Linked DNA regions of Ovis aries. The main gene of each other region encodes a partner of the protein of the gene in region 2 in a complex. Links are inferred from orthologs where the notes say so. Each region holds a gene or a part of one and is shown on either strand. Other genes may lie near its edges.

Region 1 (3,969 bases), on a different chromosome or scaffold from region 2:
CTTGCAGATTCGGCAGGACACTATCTTCTGGCCCTTGAGCTTGTTCATTGGGTCCTCCTCTTCCTGGCAGTTCAGATCCTGGCAGGGCAGGTGGTGGCAGTTCAGACGGTAGTTCAGCTGCTCCCCTGCTGCCTCCAGTAACACCCTGGCCACTGGCTCCCCCTGCCAGCCACCACACTTACCTCTTTGCTGGTGATGAATGTCATGGATACATCATCGCTGACTGTGGTGGTGGCTACGTTGGGCCCCGGTGGGTCAAATTCTGAGTTCCCAAACTTCTTCCAGTTCTGAGCTCAAGGCAGGATGGGGGACAGGTCAGGGCAAGGACAAGTGGGACCCCCTCCATTTGCACCCTAGACTTAACAAGAGCCACCTTGAGGGTGAGTGAGTCTTGAACCCTATTCACCGCCCTCAAATGCTCCTTGGAGAAGCGATGATGACAGTTGCTATTCCCTGAGGGCATGCCAGGCCCCAGCTCCATGCCAGCTCCAAGAGTAGGGGCAGCTCTCAGCCTCATGTTACAGATGAGAAAACTGAGGCTCAGGGGTAAACAGGTCCAGAGCCAACAACCCCTGGCAGGGGCTGACCAGCTTCCACCGAGTGATACTCAGGGGTGTGCAGGATCACCCAGATTTCCAGGGGCCTTGAGCTCCTTAAACAACCTGTACCTTGGCATCCTCCCCTATAAGGGACCACAATGCTCCCCACACCTCCCTGGAATGCTAGGGGAATGAATGAGAAAATACTTCCCACGAAGCACCTGAGTCTAACACCGAGTATGTAGGTAACTGTGCAAAACGTATTTACTGCCATCACTTCTGCTGCTACGACCACCTCACAGGAGGGCTTTGGCTCTGTTCCTCCCAGGCGACAAGCCGAGAGAAGTAAGAACCAACCCCTCCGCTCCCACTCCTGCACCTGCTGGACTTTTCAGGGCCCCCACGGACTGCACACAGGCCTCAGTTCTGCTCCAACAGAAGAGGTACACCCAGGGGACTTCCCCGGTGGCCCAGTGGTTAAGACTCCGCACTCTCAATGCACAAGGTGTGGTTTCAAGCCTTGCTCGGGGAACTAAGATCCCACATGCTGTGTGGTGCAACCAAACAATTAGAAAGAAACAAAAAAGCATCAGTCTCTCAATCATGTCTAACTTTTTGCGACCCTATGGACTATAGCCCACCAGGCTCCTCTGTCCATGGAATTCTCCAGGCAAGAACACTGGAGTGGGTAATCATCCCCTTCTCCAGGGTACCGTCCTGACCCAGGGATGAACCAGCATCTCCTGCATTGCAGGAAGATTCTTTACCACTGAGCCACCAGGGAAGCCACCAGGAAATTGTTTAACAAACAGTTAAACCCCACTTCTAAAAATGAAGGCAATAGGGAAAAGAACTCCTATTTTTTCTTTGAGTCAGCCCTGGAGGAGCCCCCAAGGAAGGGGGAGAAGGGTCTTACCTTCCTCCTTGCCACAGCCTTTGAGGCCTTCCGGGTCTCAATTCTGAAGGTGCGGACGATCTGTGGATAGGAGGGGAAACGTTTGGGCCTTCTGCTCCTCAAGGTTCCTAGCAGATCTTCCTCATCAAGACATCCAACACACCACTCTCTCCCTAGTCCAAGTGCCCCTCAAGCAAAGGGCTCCCACCTCTTCCCCAGCCTCACCTTGAACTTCTTGCCATCCTCATCTATCTTATACTCCGTCACTGTTTTGATGTTTCCATTGATGACCTCCTTGGGAGGTGGCAGTGGAGCTGGGAGAGAGGAAGAGACAAAGGAACTGAGCCCTGGGTAATAGGGACCAGAAGGAAGGAGGCTGGGGAGAGAGACGGCCCAGGGCTGGAGTGAAGTCGGGCACTCACCTCCCGGCAATAGCTCAGGCTCTGGACTGGTATCCCCAGTGGCCAGGGGGATCCCCTTGAGGAGCTCGCTGGTGACACATTTGTCTGTGACAGGGAGTGGAGGGAGCAGGGGTCAGCTGGGGGGTAGGGGTGGGCAGCGACAGGAACTCCCAAGCTGAAATCAAGGGACCTTTGGGATGATGCCTGCACCAGGAGCTGAGAAAGGTGGGACCAAGGGCAGAGGACTGGCCAGGAAGTGTCTTGGGATAGCCATTCAGGGACACGGAGCTGGCCGGTAGTAACTTCCAGCAATGAGAAGGGGAAGGGGATCCTTGGCCTGAGGGCCTGAGGGCCTGAGGGCCTGAGGGAAGGGGAGGGCCACAGGCATCCGGGCAATAGTATTAATACAAAGGCAGGAGTGTGGCTGTTAAACAATTTCCTGCCAGGAGCAGGGAAGCAGAAGTGCTGGCATCAAGGACTTGGGCGGTGGCACGGCAGAAGATGGGCTGGCTGGTGAACGTATGGAGTTGGAGATAGGCTGGCCCAGATGAGAGTGGCGCGGGGCAGGGGCTGGCTGTGAGGGGAGATGCAGGGTCTGACGGCGGTGCCAGGGTGGAGGATCAGAGCAGGCAGCAGTGACGGCCTGGGGCGGCGGGGGGAGGCCGGGCTGCGGTGATCCGAGGCGACAAGGTAGACTCACCGTCCTCTCCTTCCTCTTCCACCTGGTCCGCCCAACTGGGCTTCGAACTGCGGGGACAAGTTTGTCAAAAGGAGGGATGAGTGAGGCGAGGCCCAGCTCCCGCGGCCTCAACGCACCCAGGCTCTATATTAACTCCTAGGACCGCCCCCCATCCCCGGTCTGCTTACCAAACCCCCTCCACGACCCCTGACTCACTCAAAGTCTCCGGTCGGCATCGCAAAATCTCCACGCAGCCCAAGCCTGGGCCAAAGACCGGAAGTAAGAGGTGAAAGAGACTTCCGGCTCCGCTGCCTAGAGCAGCCGTAGCACTCCACAGCGCCCCCTACGGACGGAGGTAGAAGCGCCGCCTATGTGAGAGGCTGGGCCCTGGTATCTTACTATTAGAGGCTCGGCTCATTTACCTGAAAATCTTATTTATTTATTTATTTATTTGGCTGCGCTGGGTCTTAGTTGCGGCATGTAGGATCTAGTTCCTGGACCAGGAGGGCCTGCATTGGGATCACTGAATCTTAACCACCGGACCTTTTCTTTTACTTTTTTTAAAAATTAAAAATAATGACAATAAAGCTCAATTATATAGCTCTGACTGTTTGCAGGAACTGTGAGGAGGAAATTATCGTTTCCATTTTTCAGCTGAAGAAACCAAAACTGGTCTTCCTTGCCTGGAAATAACTTTTCTGATTCAAATGATCAAGATATCAAGTCACCCCCTAACTATTCTCCCTCCTTGAGTAACTCCCCCCCCCGCACTGTGAGGCTTGCAGAATCTTAATTCCCTAACCAGGTATCAGAACTGGGCGCTGCAGTGGAAGTGCAGAGTCTTAACCACTGGACCACCGGGGAATTCCTAGTAACATTCTTGGCTCCCTGATATAATCTTTTCCATTTTCTTTAATTTATTGCTTATTGTCCAGCGTTCCCTCTACTGTATGCATTCTCAGTGGGAGTGATATGACTCCCAAGGGGACCAAAATTAATTGTTCTGTGGCAAAAAAGAAACAAACAAAAAAAAAACCAACTTGGAGATGACAATGACTTGTGGCCTCCAAAGCCAACCCTCCCAGACAAAATCTTATTTCTAAACATTTAATTTCTATTGTTAGGGAGAAATTAAATGTAATTAGATTAACACTGATTTAAATGGAAGATAATTCCATTTTTCTCCTTTAGAGGGATGATAATGAAAAAAATGGTAAAAACTGCTGCAGACTTCTGCAGAAACACATTTGCCTGCTTTGTTCACTTCTGGGTCCCCAGCACCCTCAGGGTGTCTACACTTGATAAGTGCTCAATTCATGGGTATTTGGAACCGACAGGAACCAGATTATAAAGGACTTTAAAAACTAGACTAAAGATCATAGTCTCTTATATATATATTACATATATATACATGTATATATATATAACATATATAACATTTTTAAAAATATTTAT
Region 2 (4,166 bases):
ACATCCCGCCACTGTGGCACTCACAACGGACGACATTGTATCTGTCTCCACCTCTGGAGAATGTGCTTCTCCATAGCAAAGACCTGCTCTAACTTCTCTGCATGTCACCAGTGCCCAGCAAAGACCTGGGAGAGATCTGGGTACCCAGAAAATATTTCCTAAATGGAGCCGTTCAATAGGCTCCCCTGTCTTCTGTCTGTTCCTGCAATGTTCCCCACTGCTACCTGGGCTTGCCAAAGCTAAACATGCTTGGGGACTTCCCCAGCAGTGGTTAAGACTCTGCCTTCCAATGCAGGGGGTGTGGGTTCAATCCCTGGTCAGGGAACTAAGATCCCAGTTGCCACAGGGTGTGGCCAAAAATTAAAAAAAAAAAAAAGAATTGAACAGGCTCTTCCCTGCTCAGGACCCTCCCCAGCATGAAGTCCTACAGAACAGTCATGTTCCTGAGCTCACATTCAAGGCCCGTCTGGCCCTAGCCTGCCTCAGCTTCTCCACTGCTGTCTGTTTCACCCCCGAGAAGCAGGAGCTCCTGCCAGATCAGATGACTTGGACGTGCCACTTGCTGTGCTTCCACTCTTGCATCTGCCACAGCTATCGCCTCACATGACACTTGCTTTGGGAAGCCTTCCCGGGCTGATCCCATCCCCATTTCAGGCTTCAGGTGCCTCCCCCTCAGCTTTCATAGTGCACTGTGCTACCTCTAACAAGGCTTATATCTCACTGGAGTGCCTCTTTTCATCTCTGTCTCCTGATTTTCTTGTCTCTTTTTCCCTAGACTGGGAACCATCTCTGGTTTTATCTCTATTTCCCCAGAACCTGTTGACCTCAATAAGTATATTGTAGGTCCTCACTGTTTGCTGAAAAAGTGCAGGATCCAGGCTTACCTGTTTCACAGTCCCAGAGACGACAGCTGTTGTCAGCTGAGCCAGTGAGGACATGCTTGGTGTCCCCTGAAGAGGGTGTTAAGAAGCATAACAGAATTCACCTGAGTCCTTGTCCTCTTGGAAGGCCAAGTGAATCATCTCCCTATTCAGCACCAGAGAGCCTTCCTTCTCTCATCCTAACCTCCTCATTCAGAACTGGAACCTGTCCTAAATGTTCCCCGAAATAGTGAACAGACCAAGGAGTAGGAGGTAGGTAGCATCATTCTCCAGACCCCACCAGAGCATCTCAAACTCTCAGCTTCAGGTCAGCAGCTTCTCCATTGCTGGCAGACCCTGGTAGCACAGACTCAGAACAAAGATAAGGATACAGTCAGCGTCCACACACCACACAGCTCCGGTATGGCCCATGTAGGTGCCCAGTCTCTCACCATTCACAGAGTACCATACATTGACAATCTGGAGGATCAAGGACAATGTGACAGGATGATAGGCATTGTGGGCAGAGCCATGGCCTATTTTGCCCCAGAAGCTTCTAGCCAGGCCAGATTCGACCCTCCCCAGCTCATCTCTTGGGGAACAGCAGGTTGCTGGTAAAAAGACCAACTCCTGGATTCTCCTCCTGCTTGCGAAAAAGTCTCCATCATACCAGCCTTTCCCCAGACTCCTAAACCCTTTGAGGAATAAAAGGTCAAGCTGAGTATCAGCCTAGCAAAAGAGTAGTGTTTTGGTGTTCTGTCCAAACAGGAGCCGTTGGTAGGAGAGAAACCTAGGTTCCAGTCCCTGCTCTGCTACTATCTCACTGTATTATTGAAATGTGTGCTTTTCCCCTCTGAACTTCAGTTTTCCCACGTGTAAACTGGCCAGGACAATAACGCCTTTTTCAAAGAGTAGCTGTGAGACTCCAATAAAATAATGTCTAAGGAATTTAAAATGTGTCTAACATTAATATGGTACTCACAAACACTCTTTATTCAAGTAAGCTCTTTATTTGAATAATCTCATTTAATTCTAAAGACAACCCCAAGAGGGAGGTACTATTACTACCCATATTTTGTAAAAAGGGGCTCTTAAAGTTTATAATGGTTAAATGGCATGTTCAAAGTCACACTGCTAGTGAATACAGGACTCAGGATTCAAATCAGGTGTGTCAGCCCCCACGTTTAGCCACTAGGGTTAACTTTCTCCATATGGAGGTGCCTCAAAATGCAGTACTCAAAGGGGCTGTTTGCAGTGAGTGAGTGGCAGGAAGAGGGATGACTGAAATGATACCAAGGACACCTTCTTTAAGGTCTTTATCCTCGCCGCCCCAGGATCAACTTCCCCCTTCTCCAGGTGGTCTGTTCCCCTATCCTTGTAGAATAGTTTTGTTCTTCCCCGGAATGAGCTCCTCTCCGCCCCATGAGCAAGATGACCCACGTCCCCGTCCCCTTTCCACAAGGTACCCTTGCTTTTCTTCTCCCTGGCTACTCCCTCCTATCAACAATGGAGTCCTTTCCCACATCTATCGGTGTAATGCTCTTGCCCTCCAAACCCCGGGCTGATCTCTCCCTACTTCTCAGAACGGGGCACTCCTCGGTTTTTCTCGCAGCAAAACTAGCTTGTCCACCCTTCGCCCCGGGAGAATGAACGCGCCCGCTCCCGAGCCCCCTCCGCAAGGTCCCGGCGGGCCCGCCCTTCGGCCGACGCTCACAGGGTCCTTCGCCACCGTGAAAAGGAGGTCTCCCTCGCGGTTGTACTTAATCTGAGTAATGGACCGCTCATGGCCCTGCAGCAGGATCGGCTTCTGTGGGGACAGGACGGCAGTGTCAGCGCCCAGAATTGGCCCCTACCCCAGCACGGACCCCTACGGCAATACCTTTAACACAGGAGAACTCACCATTCCGGCGGTGACGCGAGGAAAGCGGCAACGTGAGTAGAACCGGAAGAGGCTTTGGCGCCACTTCCGGATTACGAGTCTCCGCCCCCTTTGTTCCCGGAAGTGGAGAGGATCGGCGTTGCCATGGCGGCGACCCTGGGTAAGCGGGCCCCGCCCCTCCCCTCGCTTCCAGACTGCTATCCCAAGTTCATTTCTTACTCCCTCCTCCACCACCTAACCCCGACCCTTGCTACAACCCCGAACTTGGGCTCCAGGATCCATCTCCCCGGCTTCCCGGGGCCTGTCCTACCCGCCAATCAGACCCGGGGCGTCGGAGAGCAAAGAAGGGATGTGGGAGCGGCGGGGTGGGAATGGGAGACCGGAGGAGGGCTAAGGCCGTGCGGTGGGGCGGCGGGGGATGTCACTCGTCTCTCCATCCAGGGCAGGTGCTGGCTCTGGTGCTAGTGGCCGCTCTGTGGGGTGGCACACAGCCATTGCTGAAGCGGGCCTCCTCTCGCCTGCAGCAGGTTCATGAGCGGACCTGGGCCCGGCAGTTGCTGCAGGAAATGAAAACCTTGTTCTTGAATCCCGAGGTGCGTCTGTGAATGAGTCCTCTCTAGAGGGTAGCAGCTAAGAATTTGGTCTCTGGAGTCAAACAGATCAGGCTCAAAATCTGTGCTCCACCACTTACTCGCCAGAAGCTCTTGGATGAGTCTTGTTTGCCTTGAGTCTCAGTTTCGTCATCTGTAAAATGGGGATAATAAGGGTAACCGTCTTACGGGGCAGTTGTGAGGGTTAAGTGAGGTGAGGCACTAAAGCAGTTAGCAGTGGGCCTTATACATATTATAATTAGGTTTCAAGTCTCTGATGCCCTGAGCAGCTAGTAATATTTTATTATGGTGATCCTTCCAACAGACTTTTCCAGAGGGAGGGCTTAGGGCTTAAATTGGCCCTGGGGAGGGGGGCATAAGGGAGAATCTAGAGTACTACTTCTGAGCTCAGTGCTGCCAGTCTCGGCTGGTGGGAAAGTCATAGACACAACTGCCTCTCAGGGGTAAGGGCTTTGAGTGAGGTACAGACAAAGTGCTTTGTGAGTTCAGAGGAGGGAGGCTGGAGCTAGGCGACTGAGGGAAGGTTTCTTGGAGAGAGGAACACTGGCGCTCAGGGACTTGCAGGATGGGGAGGACAGAAACCAGCCGGGCTGAGGGGGAGGGCATTCAGGGCAAAGGCATGGGGTTCAGTCAGTGATGTTCCCTCTGCCCTGGAAGGGTCCTTTTCAGATGGCTTGGGCCCTAGCCCTTACAGCTACCCCTCCCTCCAAGGAAAGGCTTATCTCAAAGCTCAAAGAAGGCAGCCCTGCTCAGATAAGCAATCACACTGACCAGTTTTCTTCTGTTTCCAGTACCTGATGCCCTTTTCTCTCAACC
Region 3 (4,003 bases), on a different chromosome or scaffold from region 2:
CTATGCCAAAACCTTTGAGTGTCTGGATCACAATAAATTGTGGAAAATTCTGAAAGAGATGGGAATACCAGACCACCTGACCTGCCTCTTGAGAAACCTACATGCAGGTCAGGAAGCAACAGTTCGAACTGGACATGGAACAGCAGCCTTTTCCAAATAGGAAAAGGAGTACGTCAAGGCTGTATATTGTCACCCTGCTTATTTAACTTCTATGCAGAGTACATCATGAGAAATGCTGGGCTGGAAGAAGCACAAGCTGGAATCACGACTGCCGGGAGAACTATCAATAACCTCAGATATGCAGGTGACACCACCCTCATGGCAGAAAGTGAAGAGGAACTAAAAAGCCTCTTGATGAAAGTGAAGGAGCAGAGTGAAAAAGTTGGCTTAAAGCTCAACATTCAGAAAACGAAGATCATGGCATCCAGTCCCATCACTTCATGGGAAATAGATGGGAAAACAGTGGAAACAGTGTCAGACTTTATTTTTGGGGGCTCCAAAATCACTGTAGATGGTGATTGCAGCCATGAAATTGAAAGATGCTTACTCCTTGGAAGAAAAGTTATGACCAACCTAGATAGTATGTTCAAAAGGAGAGACATTACTTTGCCGACTAAGTTCCATCTAGTCAAGGCTATGGTTTTTCCAGTGGTTATGTATGGATGTGAGAGTTGGACTGTGAAGAAGGCTGAGCGCCAAAGAATTGATGCTTTTGAATTGTGGTGTTGGAGAAGACTCTTGAGAGTCCCTTGGACTGCAAGGAGATCCAACCAGTCCATTCTGAAGGAGATCAGTCCTGGGTGTTCACTGGAAGGACTGATGCTAAAGCTGAACTCCAGTACTTTGGCCACCTCATGCGAAGAGTTGACTCACTGGAAAAGACCCTGATGCTGGGAGGGATTGGGGGCAGGAGGAGAAGGGGACGAACGAGGAAGAGATGGCTGGATGGCATCACCGACTTGATGGGCATGAGACTGAGTAAACTCCGGGATTTGGTGATGGACAGGGAGGCCTGGCGTGCTGCGATTCATGGGGTCGCAAAGAGTCGGACACGACTGAACTGAACTGAATACAAACCTAGGGTGGAGAATTGAGAATTGTTTCTTACCATAGAGTCCATGGGGTCGCAAAGAGTCCGACAGGACTGAGTGACTAACACTTTCACACTTTGGGAGATTATGAGTAGAGGTGAGGGTGGGGGTATGGGATGAAGGACAGAGTGAAAACTTTTCCTGGGAACCTGGAAAATGAGTGGAGCTTAAAGGAAAAAATAAGGGAGAACAAGCAAAGAGAATACAAAGGCTTGGTTTGAGATAGCTATGGCAATGTTCGTAAGATAACGGATCAACTGAAGTTTCCGTGAAATGCTACTCTCTCAAAGATAAGAGAGAGAATGTGTGTGTCAGGAGTGTGCATGATGCGGTGGACGACAGCAACCGACAGCTGCTTCATACCTAGTCTGTGTCAGCACAGTTAGATGTCTTCAGCAAGTCCCTGAAGGAAAGAGACTTCCCTAACTTTTGCAGAAGTCTGGCTACAACTACCGTCCTCTTCTCAATACACCAACTGTCTTCTACAATGGAAACTATTACAAGTTCAAGGGTTAAGAAAGAGAAATCATAAATGGGACTAAACTGGAATCACAAAAGTGCCCCGTATCTGTGATCAAGATGGAGTGAAAAATTAATCTGATGGGACCCGACGTCCCCAGATAAAAGAATACATCGTCAGAAATCCCTTTTTAGGGCTTCTCGGTTTTACTCTAACATAAAGTACCCATTTCTCAAATTTGGAACATGTCAGGGAAAAAAGTTATTTCTCCATGTAATCGTTAATACAAAGAATAGATTTGTATTGTATTAATTGTGTCCAAACGAAGAATCACAGTCTACAGTGGGGGAACGGGGGTCTATATTTCACTGGTGACTAGTATTACAGAGAGCGAGGAAAGGCGGATCAGGCTTAGACGTTTAAGAAAGCAGAATATTGAAATTCAAATGGGTTCCTGCCAAACTGGTTTACTTGCTGCGAGGGATATCTTTCTACAGATGTCCCCACTCCATTGCCAACTAGTTAGAAAAAACTTCTCGGTTAACACTCGGAAAATAAAGACCAGTAGTAGGTAAGGGGGGAAAACTTGGTCACTGGGTTTAAGGAGTCAAAAGGTTTTTGACGTCCCAGTAAGGTTGTGAACACATTTTCCGTCGATTGGGACTAATAACCGTTGAAGTGAAATGCTACTGCAAAGATTAAAAATAAAATGTGAGTCACTTGGCACACGATACTTTTTCAACAAATAACTACAAGGGAGTGAGAAGAAAGGGGGACAAGATAAAACAAGGTGGGCAGTAGAGGAGAACGTCAGTTTCCCCTGACCACTCACCCAGCAGGGTCCCGATAACTCGGGCAGCTCCCTCGTTGCGTCGCTCGTAGCTGTCCACGATGGAGGCCAAAATGACCGGGTGCAGCCGGACCACGCGGCCGCCGGGGAAGGGGCCTGGGAGAGCAGGGCCAGAGAGAGACTGTGCGGGGGTCTGCGCTGGGGCTGGCGCTGAGGCCGGGGTCTGGCCCGGAGCCGCGGTCGTAGCCGCTGCTGCTGCCGGGTCTGAGGATGACGCGGGAGCCGGCGATGGAGCTGGAGCCGGAGCCGGCGATGGAGCCGGGGCCGAGGCTGAGGCTGGGGCTGGGGCCGGGGCCGAGGCCGAGGCCGGAGATGAGGCCGCAGCTGGGGCTTCGGACGGGGTGGCGGGAGGCGCGCTCGCCGGTACTGCCGGTGTGGCCATCTTGTCGAGAGAGAAGGAGCGAGGAGCGGAAGGGAGCGAGTTGGAGAACATTAGGAGCACCATAGGCTGAACCTGCACCACGTGAACTAGGTGCTTCTGCTTACTGGCTACTGATGATGCTTCTCAGAGCTACAATTTCCGGCTCTGTGTTTGTGCTCTTTGATTTTGGTCCGATGCGCACTCAGTGAGAATCAAGCTAAGTAGTTCCGAGTAAACTTGCGACCGCCCTGGGAGGAGAGAGACACTGCCACCAGATGGAGCCATAGAGCGGTGCAAAGGTCGCAGCTGGCACTTCAATGGGATAATTGGCATCAAGGAAAGAGCTTTGTTCTTGACTGCATCCTAAGGTGTCCATACAGTGTGTCATTCATTAAACAATTTGAATATGTGCCAGACACTTTTAGGAGCTATCAGAGAGCAAAATAAAGACCATTGTCCTTGAAACTTTACGTTCTAGTAGAGAGAGACAAGTACTTTTACACGACTGAAGCGACTTAGCAGCAGCAGCAACAAATGTGTTAGTGAAGAGGGAAAGATAAAATTTTACATAAACTCCTGCTGGTTCTGCCTCTGTAACTCTAGGTCATGTAGCCTCAGAAAGTGAGGACTTAGAATACTAGGAACTGGAGCTTATCTCACGCACCCTTGTCCTGCTCTTTGTGATTGCCCAGCCCCTGCAATCCTGCTTAATCACGCGCGTCCAAGTAAAGGTCAGCCATTCATCTCCCCGTTTTGACCCCTGTTCCTGTGCCTGTGAAACGCCTTAGTTTAAATCAGCCTGTTGGCAGCTAGTGCTGTCCACTATAGTCTGTCTATAAAAACTCTGTAACTCCTTTGTTCGGGGCTCAGAGCTTGGAGTGTTAACTCCTCTGGGCCTGCTGGCTTAACAAACCTGAGTTCTCCAACTCTCCGAGTATGGTGTTTGGTTTCTCGATTACTGGTTTCTGCAACACTACGTGTGGAAGGAGCTCTGATCCTCACTCCTTGCGTAACTTTGGGCAATCTAGAGGGTTTTTATTTTAAGTTCCTGAGCCTCAGTTTCCTTTATTGCGTGAGGGGTATGATAACATCTGCCTATGAGGAAACTTGTCAATTCCTTTAGTTGGATGTGCCAGGTTCCAGCCGGCAAGGTGAGTGGGTGAGGTTGGACTTCTTAGCCCGGAACTCATGCCCAAGAACTACTTTCTCCTTGGATCTACCTTTTTTGATTAGAATTCCCT

The links. Proteins that work in one complex are often made in the same cells at the same time.
Region 1: EIF3I (region 2) and EIF3G share a complex: the UniProt entries of both Homo sapiens proteins name them as parts of the eukaryotic translation initiation factor 3 (eIF-3) complex. The link is inferred for Ovis aries from reciprocal best matches to the Homo sapiens genes EIF3I and EIF3G.
Region 3: EIF3I (region 2) and EIF3F share a complex: the UniProt entries of both Homo sapiens proteins name them as parts of the eukaryotic translation initiation factor 3 (eIF-3) complex. The link is inferred for Ovis aries from reciprocal best matches to the Homo sapiens genes EIF3I and EIF3F.

Annotation. Positions count from the first base shown.
Region 1 is NC_056058.1:12,527,644-12,531,612, forward strand, and holds the start of EIF3G (eukaryotic translation initiation factor 3 subunit G), read right to left. Parts: upstream 2,801-3,969; 5' UTR 2,751-2,800; coding exon 2,731-2,750; intron 2,583-2,730; coding exon 2,536-2,582; intron 1,941-2,535; coding exon 1,857-1,940; intron 1,749-1,856; coding exon 1,660-1,748; intron 1,516-1,659; coding exon 1,456-1,515; intron 288-1,455; coding exon 183-287; intron 79-182; coding exon 1-78. UniProt on the Homo sapiens protein: RNA-binding component of the eukaryotic translation initiation factor 3 (eIF-3) complex, which is required for several steps in the initiation of protein synthesis.
Region 2 is NC_056055.1:235,308,604-235,312,769, forward strand, and holds the start of EIF3I (eukaryotic translation initiation factor 3 subunit I), read right to left. Parts: upstream 2,801-4,166; 5' UTR 2,764-2,800; coding exon 2,761-2,763; intron 2,668-2,760; coding exon 2,575-2,667; intron 1,341-2,574; coding exon 1,253-1,340; intron 951-1,252; coding exon 885-950; intron 1-884. Other genes in the region: TMEM234 (transmembrane protein 234), read left to right, coding at 2,884-2,899, 3,181-3,332, 4,142-4,166. UniProt on the Homo sapiens protein: Component of the eukaryotic translation initiation factor 3 (eIF-3) complex, which is required for several steps in the initiation of protein synthesis.
Region 3 is NC_056068.1:44,245,836-44,249,838, forward strand, and holds the start of EIF3F (eukaryotic translation initiation factor 3 subunit F), read right to left. Parts: upstream 2,801-4,003; 5' UTR 2,784-2,800; coding exon 2,384-2,783; intron 1-2,383. UniProt on the Homo sapiens protein: Component of the eukaryotic translation initiation factor 3 (eIF-3) complex, which is required for several steps in the initiation of protein synthesis.